2 linked regions of the Caenorhabditis elegans genome follow. The protein of the gene in region 1 interacts with the protein of each later gene in a pairwise test. Each region holds a gene or a part of one and is shown on either strand. Other genes may lie near its edges.

Region 1 (5,068 bases):
AGTGGAGGAATCAGTTTGAGCTGGATGACACGTTTCAGCAGAAGCAGCGAAAAGTTGATGACTCTGTATCGAATCAGATTTCTAGAAATCAATTCAATCCACAACAGGTGAGATTTTTTTTTGCAATAAAAAAAATGCGCTGCTGCACCCCCCACCCATCATTCAGAAAATGCCAATTATTGAAAATAAATATTTTAGGTATCGATGACGCATGGAAATGTAAATGCTAACAACCGAGAGATGGAGAAACTCGATTACCCGAACAACAAACTCTGAAGCACACAGAGTCTAATAGCTAATTTTTTTGGAAATTCTGTCAATTTGATGTAATGCTTGTTATTTTTTTTTGTTTCTGTGAACAATATGGAGTTAATAAACACTGGTTCAACTTTAGCATTTTTTTATTACTACTGTTGTATTTTCAATTATAAGTTCTCAATTTATCAATTTAAGAGGGTTTTTTTTTTGGAAGTTTTAATTAAAAATATTGGAAACATTTAAAACAAGCATGAATGACGTGTCAACAGAAAAAAAAACCTGTTCAGATATTTCGTAACTTCTCTATTTGCCAATGAGCTATCCTCAACCCAAGCAGCAGCGGGGCATTCGTCACCGACTGCAAAAAAGTACTACATACTAGAAGTTTTTCGTTCAGAATTTTCTTGCAATTTCTGCCATTTCCCCCACCGCCCGTTTGCCACCAATGTCCATCCATCCATTTCGCAACGCGACCAGGAAGATATTATAAATCTTCGACGCCTTTAGCCAATCCCCCCCCCCCCCGTCATCTCCACAGGAAAACCTGTTTTTGTTCTTCTCAAGTTCCATTCGTTTCTCTGTATTCTCTTCATTTTTCGTCCAATTTCATATAACACACCCTTTCCATCCATGTTTCTTTTTTTTTTTTAGGAGGCCCGTTTTCATAGAAAAATGAAGGCATTTGGAAATGCGAAATACATGTGTATGCATGTGTGTATACGTTTGTTTGCCGCTCTTCCAGTCCTAATCTGTGAACACCTTCAGGCAGCGACGGATAGTAGCACACACTATCAAAAACTGATACTCACTGACTACCCCTTCTTCTCTTTTCATCAATCATTCAGCCCAGCACACACTCACTCACTGAAACGAAGCAAATAATCTCGTGACTTTGCGAACTCACTAGCTTAATTTCTTTCTTTTCTGACCACCGTGCGCTGCCACTGTGTCTCTCGCACTATCCGGCTCCTTTTTCTCTGCGCACTCTTTTCTCTGGGGGACACTTCTAACCATCTGCGTCTCACTGCAAATGGTGCTCTCTAGCACGCGCACTGACACTCGTGCGCTCACTGTGCGCTGTTGCACGCGCGCGGCGCGCGTTCGCCTCGAGGAGAAATACTCTCGCGCTCAACACTCAACACTCACAGATACACACACAGACACAGACACAAAACGCATGCGACGCGCGCAAAAAGACCACACACACACACACACATATATATTCACTCACAAAAGACTCACCCTCTCCAAACCTCACTCATTCGCCTCTCTGTCTTTCTTTCATTTTCTCTCTCTCTCAAATATGCATTGTACATGCGCGATTCTATTGGATCGTTTCTTATCAATTTCTATGTTTTAGCCACACCATTCAGCCACATCATCCCTCTTGCCAGTTGGCATTTTTGTAGTTCTCTGTTCAGTTTATTTGATTGGGCATAATCTTATCCATGTGATGTTTCCTTTTCAGTCAATGGTCATTCGTTGTATAATTTTGATTTCTGCCTTTGCATCTCTTTAACTTTTTTTATTTTCAGGCGGGGAGCAAACATGTCGATTTCGACGATTCGCCGGCAAGTGAAGAACGTCGCCTATAATTTCTCGGATGCACAAGTAAAGGTTCGCGAAGCCACAAGCAACGATCCATGGGGACCATCCACAGCGCTCATGTCCGAAATTGCCGACTTGACGCACAATCCAATGGCGTTCACTGAGATTATGTCAATTGTTTGGAAGCGATTAAATGATTCTGGCAAAAACTGGCGACACGTGTACAAAAGTCTGGTGCTTCTCGATTTTCTCATCAAATGCGGCCACGAGAAGGTAATGGTTTTCTGACTCATATGCATTATCGATTTTTTTTCGCATTGCAGGTCGCGCAACAATGCAGAGAGAACGTGTTCACCATTGAAACACTCAAGGATTTCCAGCATGTGGAAGACAATCGGGATCAGGGCTTGAACATTCGAGAGAAAGCAAAGCAGATCACTTCACTGCTCTCCGACGATGAACGCTTGAAAAACGAAAGAACACGCTTCATCCTCACAAGAAACAAATTCAAGCAAAACAATCCAGGACCGGTTGGAGCGGAAAGTCGTCGCAGCAATCGTCATCATGTCACCGACGCGTCTCTTGGTAAGATATAAATATCATATTGAAATAGCAGCGCGGATACTTCCCCACAACAACTCTGCTCAATTAAATTTTTTTAGACCCCGAGTACGAAGATGCTCGTCCATCTACCGCCACCGAGGAAGAGATGCAGCTTCAAATTGCTCTTGCTCTTTCACGAGAGGAATGCGAAAAGGCCGACGAGATGCGCAAGAGCGATGATGCTCGCCTTCAAATGGCTCTGGAAGAGTCGCAAAAGGTTTGTTTAGAAACCCACCATATTCCGTCTTCCCATTAACCCCTTATAGCTTCAGGATGCCGATCGCCTCGCAACGACCAAGCAAGGTACCGTGAGCAGCGGACAATTAACCCAATCCGCTCTTGACGACCTGCTTTCGTTGGGTGTTGGTGAGCTGGTCAGTGGAAACAACGATCAACCATCGTCATCGTCGGCTTGGGGAATGAATGATCCATGGGGTGCTCCACAAGCTTCTGCCTCTCTCAACACAAACGATCAAATGTTTGCTAACTCGATGTCCAACAACGATCCATGGGCTACATCGACAGTTGCTCAACCAGTTGCCGCTACCGCTCCAAACTCTGATCCGTTTGCTTCTTGGGATGCACCGGCTCCAGCTGCAACTACTCCATCAACAATGCCAACGAGCAGTTCGTTTGATCTTCTCGGAGGAGATGTAAGATCTATTTTCAGTCATTCCGTAGATTCTGTATATTTATTTATTTCAGCTGCTCTCCCCAACTAACTCATTGAGCGCCAACATCAACACTAACAACTCCACAAATGGTACCAGAAAGACTCCAGAAAACTTCCTTGGGGAGAACTCTAACCTTGTCAACTTGGACAACTTGCTGGGAAGCGGAACTCCAAGCACCACAGGTCAGTACAACCAAATTTATTTTCAGATTGGTGCTATTTTGTGCTACTGCTCTGTGTTTGTTTGTGTCATCCCTCTTAAACTCGTGCTCACACCTTTACGGCAGAAGCGCCGCTGATATCAAAATCAGCTGATAAGATGTGATGTCGTAAAGGGCACAATTTTGAAAGCGCGAACGCACTGGCGCAATAAAAAAAACTGATAATGATTGAATGTTCTACATTTTTTTTCAGGTGGAAACCCATTCCTTACCGGAGCCGCTCCAGCGAACGCCAATCCATTTGCTGCTCAACAACGAAAGTCTCCGACATTGAATGAGATGCGTGCTGCTCAAGGACAGGCCCCTCCAATTCCATCGATGGCTCCACGTGGGACACTTCCACAAGCCAATCCATTTGCAAATCCTTTCTAAACAGTCCGGGCAATTGGTCTTTACTGTGAAACTACCTATTCTAATCAGCTTTGATATATTTCTGTCAAAAACGAAACTCACTCTCATATACACTCACCACGTTTTTCCCCCGCGCCTCCTTTACAATTTCTTCTTCAATTCATGTTTGTGAAGCCCGAAGATAAATTAAACTTTGTAATTTATGATACTTATATGTCGATTATTTGTATAATCTATTTATATCTATTGCAAGCCTATCCTCCTTTTACAGCCTGTCATTGCTTGTTTGCATCTTCTCCATCCCATCCCCACTAACTTGTCATCCTCCTTTGGCTAAACTTGACTCTTTTTTTTTGAAGTAATTGTTGGTGACGGTTCAAACATTTCGTCCCCACCCATTTGCCTTCTCTTCTCCCAAAATTTTTGGGAATTATTTTATACTTTTTCTGTACAATTTTCGTCTCCCGCAACTTGTCTTGAATTAAACCGTTATAAAACGATACGATTGATGAAGTTGAGTTGTTCAATTTCTTCACTCTTTTTTTCTTTTTTGGCTCCACCCTTTCCTTCAAGTTTTCCCACATCTTTTTTTTCTTCGTGTGTATGGTATTTTTTGTAGCGTGTCTGATTGAAGGAAGTCTTCTTTTTTTTTCTCTTTATTTTCTTTGGTTGCTTCTAAATAACATCATATCAAGCAAATGCTGTCGACTAACAGTAATTTGGAGACATAACATTTTTTAGGAGATGCATATGACTTCCCACATTAAAACAAACAACAAAATTAACACAACTTCTACTGAAAAATATTTTTTTTTTCAAATGAATAAACAATCTTATCATTTTTAAATTTTTGATAAATCATTATTAGTATTTCATGTTTTTGATGACCGCAAATGCTACTTTAGACACGAAAAAGCCATCCATCGGAAATTTGGGGAACAATTGCAGGAAATTGAATATAAAAAGCACGAGAGCACTTATCCGGAATGAAATTGGCGGAAAAGGTTATGAACAATGGTTCAGAGGGGTTATCGCATTTATTGGAAGAAAAAATGGGTGAACAAGGGATGGCCTAGAAGTTATTGTTGGAAGAATGTGAAATTGTGTTTTTTTTTTCAGGAAAGGGGTCAAACCTATTTTTAATGTTCTGAACAAAATAGGGCAAGTGAAAAACGCTTAAAAAGCTCCTTCCTCCATTAGTCACGCAAGCCTAATTTTTAATTGATCCGGATTACACACTTTTGCAATATTTAATCGGCTTTTTGAACACTTTCATTCATAATTTACTCAAAAAATGGTGGTTTTACAGAAAGTTTCGTTTGTCTTTCAAGCAAAAAAAAGGTCAGTGCAATACCGATAAAAGTTTTGCCCAATTTTTCTATATAGTTGAAACATATGAAAAACATGATTTTCA
Region 2 (7,828 bases), on another chromosome or scaffold:
CCCTGTGCCAGGTATATCTCCATTTCAATGCCCTTCCGATGGGCAAAGTACAGTGGCACGTTCTCTTCACAGCACTTGAGCTCAGCTTGAGCCCTATCAACACAGCAGCTTCAGCTTACGCACCATCGATTATTCAAATCATTCTTTGCTTTCTCGGCGTCCTCTTCCTTCATAAATTTGACGTATACGTTTCCGACCATGTGTTCTCCGATATTCTCACAAACGTTGATCTCCTCCACTTCTCCATATTTTCGCTCCATCTCCACAAAAACCTCCTCGTAGAAATCGTCAAAATAGCGCTGTTCCTGATCATTCCGCTTGCCGACTTTATCGAAAGCATCCGCCTGACGGACATCCACTACCGGATTGTGGTAGAAGTTTTTGAGCACAACTGTTGGCGAGAATGTCGGTGTATGATGGGCTCTGGAGCATTTGTCTCCGTGGCGGCAGGCTCCTGTCTGCAAAAATTATTTAATTATTGAATTTTTTCACAGAAATCCACAACAAACCTTGAAGAAAAACGAGCAATTGACTTTATCCTTCTCAGTACCATAGATTGAGGCCAGGTACTCGGCTCCGGAGAGCCCGTCACCATACGACATTGGGATTCACTAAAAAAAATGATTTTTGACGAAAAATTCAATTTCAGCGGGAAAACCCTGAGAATTACGATTTTTAAACACAAATTCTGACGGAAATACTTCAGAATACAACGTAAAACTCAAAATATCAAGAATTCAATGCAAAAAACAAACTGCGAACCTGAAACAGATAGAAAATGGAAATAATAACCAACTGCCCTGCTAAATTCGAAAACGCAACGAGGCACGCTTTTGTGGGCGGGGCGAGCGTCGGCAAGGTGAGCGCGCGCGTTTTTCTAGCGTTTTCTCTATTTTTCTTTTTTTCTCCCATGACCAGAGATTAATAAATAAGTTGAAATTTAAGTGAATTTCTCTTCAATTTTCCGCGATTATACCGATTAATTCATGCACCAAGGCTGAAAGAACATTTAAAAATCAATTGGAGCTCAAAATTATTTGGAGAAAACTCAAGAATACGAGATTTTTCACTCTAAAACTAAAATTTGTTCTTAAAATGCAAAGTTTTAAATGAAAAAAAAAACATTGATTTTTTTAAATATATAAAAAAGGGGTTTTTGATTCCTTTAAAATTCTCTGCGTCTCTTGCATCTCTCGCCGCGCGCTCTCGGGGACCACTCCTCTTTTGGGGCACGCAAAAATCGATAAGCTTTCGGCGGCGCTTGGCCTCTTTCTTATTTCTTCTTATTTCTCAGTTCCTGAATCCAAATTTACAGAAATTTCGGCGCATTTTCTCTTTTTGTTGCGAAATTCGCATTTTTAGCGTTTTTAATCGAAAAACCCCCAATTGACAAATCCGTGGGAAGTTTACATAGAAATTTCCAGCTAAATTAGGGAAAAATCACGAATTTTAGCCAAAAAATTACATTTTATTGAGCCGCCTCGCTCGCCGGCCGCGCCGCGCCGCGGCCAATTTTTACAGAAATGGCCGAGAGGGAACCTAGGCCACGGCCACGACCGCGACGCAGCTGGCGAGCGGAGCGGCTCAAAAAAATCTATTGTTTGCCCAAAAACATGTGTTTTTTCATCATTTTCGCTGATTCTTCGCATAAATTTCCAGTTAAATTAGAAAAATATGGCTCGTTTTTTCCCTTTTTTGTTGCGAAATTCCCATTTTTTGTCGAAAAATCCCCTGTTCTCCAGATGACAAATCCTTGGGAAGTTTCCGATGCCGAATATCAGAAGAATTTCGCAATGTTCGGCCAATTAACCGGAGGACAACCGTTTATGGATGCGGTCACTGCACGAAATGCACTAATGCGCAGCAATCTGCCAACGCAAGTGCTTTCTCAGGTTGATATTAAACTTTAAAAAAAAAAATGTTTTTATTCAAACAATTTCCAGATCTGGGCGCTGTCAGACTTGGATAAAGACGGCCGGCTCGATATTCGTGAATACTCTATCGCGATGCGACTTGCTCTGAATTGTCTTGCCGGAATTCCGATTCCTCCGCAACTTCCGCCTTCCCTGCTGGTAGTTCCCGCCAGAAATGCTCCACCAACCTGGCCTGGAAGCCGGCATGGCAGTGTAGACTACTCACAAACTCTTCCACCGGCCATTGATCGTCGAATGTCGCAGTCATACATCCCATCTGCACCGGTTTCGATTGCCGGAACTCCATCTAGCAGACACAACTCGATTTCAGCTGGAAGCCCTTTGAATAATGATCGCAATGTCTTCGAAGGCCGGCAGCTGGAAAACTGGGCGATTCCTCACCACAATAAATTAAAATATTCTCAATTGTTTAATGCTCTCGACAAGGAACGTCTGGGCTCCCTGAGCTCACAAGTCGGACGGAGTGCTCTCGGGCTTTCAGGCCTTCCTACCAATGTTCTCGCGCATATCTGGTTTTTGTCAGATGTGAATAAGGATGGAAAGCTATCAGTGGATGAGTATGCGATTTCTCAGTATATGATTGAAATGTTCAAAGTATGTGTTTTGTTACCGGCCAGAAGCTCTTTATTCAAAAATTGCACTTTTTCCATGAAAATCCAACTTTTCTGATCTAAAATTGATATAAAAATGTAGAAAAAGGTTCTTTCCATCTGAAAATATTGTATTTTTCATGTTTTTTCAACAAAAATAAGGAATATTTTCAATTTTATTTGTCAAAAACTTGGAATTTCAAAATAAAAAGTCAAGCCACGTGGACGCTCCTCCCACTTTGCAACATGCGGCGCGAGTTTTCGCAACACTGCCGCACGGTTGTATTTTCTTCACGAATTATAGTTTTTCAGTGAATTTTACAGGATTTTTCAACGTTTTGCTTGTTTTTTTCAGCAAAATTTCATGTTAAAACGCTGAAAAATCTCAAAATTTCAAATTTTTCTGTACGAAAATCGGAAAATACCCTAAAATCATGAAACACCATAAAAATTTCCGCTGAAAAACTTAAAAAAATTTTTTTTTCAGAGTGGATTCGCGCTTCCAAAAATAACCCCGCTGGAACTTGTCCGGATGTGCGGAATCTCATCAAGATCAGCCAACAATACCCCTGAACTCGAACCAGGAGCGGAGCCACCACAAAAGTCACCAGCTCCGAAAACTTTTGAAGATAAGCGACAGGATAACCTATCTAAAGGTCAGGCAGAACTGGAGAGACGACGTAGAGTTCTTGAAGAAGAGGAGCAACGAAGACGAGCAGAAGTAGAGAAGAAAGAGAGAGAAGAAGAAGCGAAGAAAAATAGAGAAAGACAAGAAAAGGAACGACAGGCTGAAGTTGAGCGGCAAGCTGAACTAGAAAGACAGAGAATAATTGAAGCTCAACGGGAGGAAGAGGAGAAGAAGCGGAGGCTAGAGATGGAGAGACGCAGAGAGGAGGACGAGAAAATGAGAAAAGTTCAAATGGAGAAGGCGAAAGTTAAACAGATGCAGGTACAGATGCCTGAACAGAAAAAATGGAATTTTTATGTGGATTCTAGGCGATTTTTTGAGTTTTTCTTTTGAAAATTGAACTTTTGGAACACAGAAATTTTATTTACTCATGATAAAAAAAAACCAAATTTAAATCCCTAATTTCAGAACCAGAAGCAACAAGAGAACGAGCGTCTTGCACAACGTCAGCAACGAGAAAAAACGCTGCAATTTCAATTACAAGCACTTGATGAGAAGGTTATCGATGTTGAAGTGGACATTGGAAAAGCCAAAGAAGCAGTAGCAGAAGTGACTGGATTTATTGAGAGAATGAGATCTACGAGAGACGAGAAAGTCGCGAGAATTAAAGAATTACAAGAGACTAATCAGAAGGTAATACGCGTTTAATCTATATGCAAATTACCCAAAAAAGTTCCAGACAGCTATCGAATCTCAAGAACTCGGCCATCAGCTTCTACAAAAACAGTCGGCTCACAAGGAGACAACGCAGAGAAAAAGTGAACTAGAAGCACTGCGAAGGAAACGAGATGCTATTCGAAAAGCTATAGAAGATGCCGCTCTGGAATTATCCACAGAAAAAGAGAAATCGTATAATCAGACGGAGATTTTAAAGACGAATAAGGAAAAGTATAAGACTGATGTTTATTCGAAACTTGTCGCAAAACGAGAAGAATATCGAAATTCGTTTGAGCTTCTGGTTCATGCTCAGACACATGCCAGGAGCAAAATTGGGGAATTTGAAGCGAAATCTGCTCCAGCTTCAGCTGCTCCAGCTCCTGCTCCTGCTCCAGCTCCTACTACCACCAACGGATTCCCTGCAAACTTCAACGATGCATTCGGAGAATTCGATAAAACCGATGCAAGTCAACGTTTCGACGCGGATTTCGGTGCCACGTCGACAGCGGATCCATTTGCTCAGATTGCTCAGGCGCCAGCTCATTCGAAGGGTGCTGTTGATCAATCGGCGTTCAATATTCATGACACTTATAAGTGTCGAGCTCTTTTTGCGTTTGAAGCAAGATCCGAGGATGAGCTCAGTTTTGAACCAGGTGCTGTCCGAACAGCAATATGTCCCTTTAAATGGCCTTTTGTTGTGTAGATTTACGAGCTTCTCCGGAAAAAGCTCGAAATTTCGGAATTCGTAGGAGAAAAAGTTTGGCATAAAATTCAGGAATTTTTAAATTTTTCCAAAAAAAAATCTGAAAAATTGCAAAATTCCACTAAAATCAAGGAATTTATCTAAAATTTTTAAGAGTTTTTCCAGAAAAAAAGCCAAAAAAAAAGAAAATTTCAATTTTTTTATTCTTATCTCTCATTTAAAATGACTTATTTAATATTTTTGAAATAGTTGCATGGAAAACAAATTAAATGCATAAAAGATGTGAAAAATTTCAGAAAATTTGAATTTTTTCGAAAAAAAAAACTGAAAAATTGCAAAATTCCACTAAAATCAAGGAATTTTACTCAAAAATTCTCAAACTGAGCTGAAAATGATTCCAAAAATTTTGAAATTTGTAGGAGAAAACGTCCAAAATTCAGGAATTTTTAAATTTTTACGAAAAATTATTGGAAAAAAGAACTATTTTTCCGCAGTTTTTTCAAAAAAATTTTGAAATTTTTCAAAAAGTTTGGATTTTTTCGTTTTTGGCAACAAAAAAAACCATCACTAATCAATGTTTACCTAAAAACCCCGTTTTTGTGAAAAAAAAACCCTTTTTTTCCCAAAAAATACCAATTTTTGTCAGAAAAAACTTAACAAAAAGTGTCATTTTTGACAAAAAAAAGGCAAAAATTCGAGAAAAAGTTAATTTTTATTTATTTTTCTTCTAGGAGACGTCATAATCGTCTTCCAATCCCATGCAGCTGAACCAGGATGGCGTGCCGGTCAACTTCGTGAGAAAGTCGGATGGTTCCCAGAAGCATTCGTCGAAGCAATCGCAGCAGTACCTACTCCAGGCGGTGATCCACCTATTCAGAATATGCCACCAAACATGACGCCGAGCTCATCAGTAGATCAAATTGGAGTGAAAGCGGCGCGGAAAGCGGAAATCGCAGCGGCAATGGGATTGACAGAAGGTGGTGCTCCACCTGCTTCAAGTGCTCCAGCAGCAGCAGCAGTAATATCTCAATGTATTGCACAATTCCAATGGAGAGCACGTAATGAGGAGGATTTGTCATTTGCAAAAGGAGATACAATTGAGGTGGAGAGCATTTTGCTGCGAAAAATCCAAAAATTGTCTGAAATTCTTGAGCTTGAACCTGAAAAAAATGAGATTTTACAAGTTTTCCGGCAGAAAATTTGAAAAATTTGAAGTTTTAAGCCAATTCTTAGGAGTTTTCAGCCTATTTTCCTGCAAAAACAGCTTGAAAATGTGATTTTGACGAATTTTTGAAAAAAAAATTGGATTTTCGGTGAAAAAATCGATTTTTAATCTATCTTTCAGCTAAATTGTATGATTTATAAAATAACCTTTTTTCCCAAAAAAAACCATTTTCCCCATAATAACTCTTTTTTCTAAAAAAAAACCTGTTTTCTACCAAAAAAAAACCCATTTTTATCAACAAAGGAACCCAAATTTTCAACAAAAAAAACCTTTTTTACCCCAAAAAAACCTATTTTTCAGCAAAAAAATGAGCGTGGTTTCTGGGGAATTTTTCCAAAAATTTGAAAAAAAATTTAGGATTTTATTCCCATTTCTTCTTTTCACGATTTTTCTTGAATTTCAGACTATTTTTTTTAGATTTTTGAAGGTACACCTTAACTCGAACTAATAACATTAATTTCAGGTACTAGAAAAGCAAGAAATGAAATGGAAAGGTCGAAATCCTGCCGGCGAAATTGGATGGTTCCCGAAAAGTTATGTGAAAGAAGTCGGAGCAACCACCAGCACCACGACTCCGATTGTGTCTCCTTCGAAGGCTTCTGCAGGAGCTCCAGGAGCAGCAGCAGGAGCTCAATACGACGTGGTACCTTCCGATGTGACATTACAAGCCTCCGAAACAGCCCCCCAACAACAACTTTACACTGTGATCTACGATTTTGAAGCTGTCGAGACAACAGATTTGGCACTGCATGTCGGTGACACAATTCTAGTGCTCGAGAAGTAAGTGGAGAGAGGAGCTCTCGCTGCTCTTGACAGGAGCTCATTTGGAATTGAATTTTTTCATTTTTTTGATAGCTTTTCGTATTCTTGCGCTATTATTATTATGCTTAAACGAAAGGTTTCGGGGTATCAATTTATTACATTTTGAACCAAATAAGCCCAAAATTTTTAAAATAATTGTTTCCAATTTTGCAAGGAAAACCCTATTTTTGGCAAAGTAACCTCAAAAAACTATTTCTTGTCCAAAAAAACCTTTTTTTTTTCAAAAAAGTCTAATTTTTGTCAGAAAAAAATCCAAAAATGTGTCGTTTTGCCAAAAACACCAAAAAAATTCCATTTTTGCAACAAAAACAGCTAAAAAATACATTTTTCCCCAGAAAAAAAATCATAAAACTCAGTTTTGCCAAAAAAAAAAACCAAACACGCGTCATGTTTACCAATAAAACTTTTTTTGTTTTAAACCGATTTTTTCAGAAAAAATCCAAAAGTGTCATTTTTAACATTAAAAAAACCTAAAAAGCTATTTTTTCAAAAAAGGCACAATTTTTCTTACTTTTGCCAAAAATGTGTCATTTTCGTCAAAAAAAACCCTGAAAAAAAAACAATTTCCAAAAAACACAATTTTTACCGAAAAAAAATTAAATTTAAAAACCAAAAAAAGCATATTTTCTCAAAAAAATTAATTTCTCCACAAAATTAAAAAAAAGCCCGACAAAATCCAATTTTTGCAAAAAAAAACCGAAATACTCTTTTTTTTCCAAAAAAACTTCATATTAAAAAAAACCCCAAAAACCCAAAAAACTTGTTTTTTAGCCAAAAAAAAATTACTTAAAAACTGAAAAACTGACACCAAAACAAAAATATCAATTTTCAGTGATTTAAATCAAAAAATAATTTCAGAAACGATGAATGGTGGAAAGGGCGTTGCAACGGACGTGAGGGTATCTTCCCAGCCAACTATGTCGAGATATCAGTCCAGCAGGCAGGGGATCCGACTCCACCAACTCAAGCTCCAACTCCAGCGGCTCCACCAACCGTCCTCTGTGAAGCTAAAGTTGTCGTGGATTTTGTTGCATCGGCGCCAAATCAATTGGGAATCAAAGTTGGCGAAATTGTGAAAATTCGTGAAAAATCAGCAGCCGGCTGGTGGGAAGGCGAGCTGATTCGAAATGGAAAACCAATCGCCGGATGGTTTCCTGGAGAATATGTAAAAGTTTTGGAAGAAGCCGCTTCTCCTGCCACTCGAGCCAC

What was found.
Region 2: the proteins of epn-1 (region 1) and itsn-1 interact in a two-hybrid assay, tested with the Caenorhabditis elegans proteins (3 studies listed by BioGRID).

The regions. Positions count from the first base shown.
Region 1 is NC_003284.9:14,815,233-14,820,300, reverse strand, and holds epn-1 (ENTH domain-containing protein), read left to right. Parts: upstream 1-1,786; 5' UTR 1,787-1,806; coding exon 1,807-2,079; intron 2,080-2,129; coding exon 2,130-2,391; intron 2,392-2,468; coding exon 2,469-2,626; intron 2,627-2,675; coding exon 2,676-3,062; intron 3,063-3,114; coding exon 3,115-3,265; intron 3,266-3,496; coding exon 3,497-3,675; 3' UTR 3,676-4,496; downstream 4,497-5,068. Other genes in the region: Dual specificity tyrosine-phosphorylation-regulated kinase mbk-1, read left to right, coding at 1-107, 199-276.
Region 2 is NC_003282.8:17,117,942-17,125,769, forward strand, and holds the start of itsn-1 (Intersectin-1), read left to right. Parts: upstream 1-1,740; 5' UTR 1,741-1,742; coding exon 1,743-1,892; intron 1,893-1,943; coding exon 1,944-2,528; intron 2,529-3,011; coding exon 3,012-3,473; intron 3,474-3,620; coding exon 3,621-3,845; intron 3,846-3,885; coding exon 3,886-4,522; intron 4,523-5,303; coding exon 5,304-5,674; intron 5,675-6,260; coding exon 6,261-6,577; intron 6,578-7,477; coding exon 7,478-7,828. Other genes in the region: uaf-2 (Splicing factor U2AF 35 kDa subunit), read right to left, coding at 124-458, 510-602.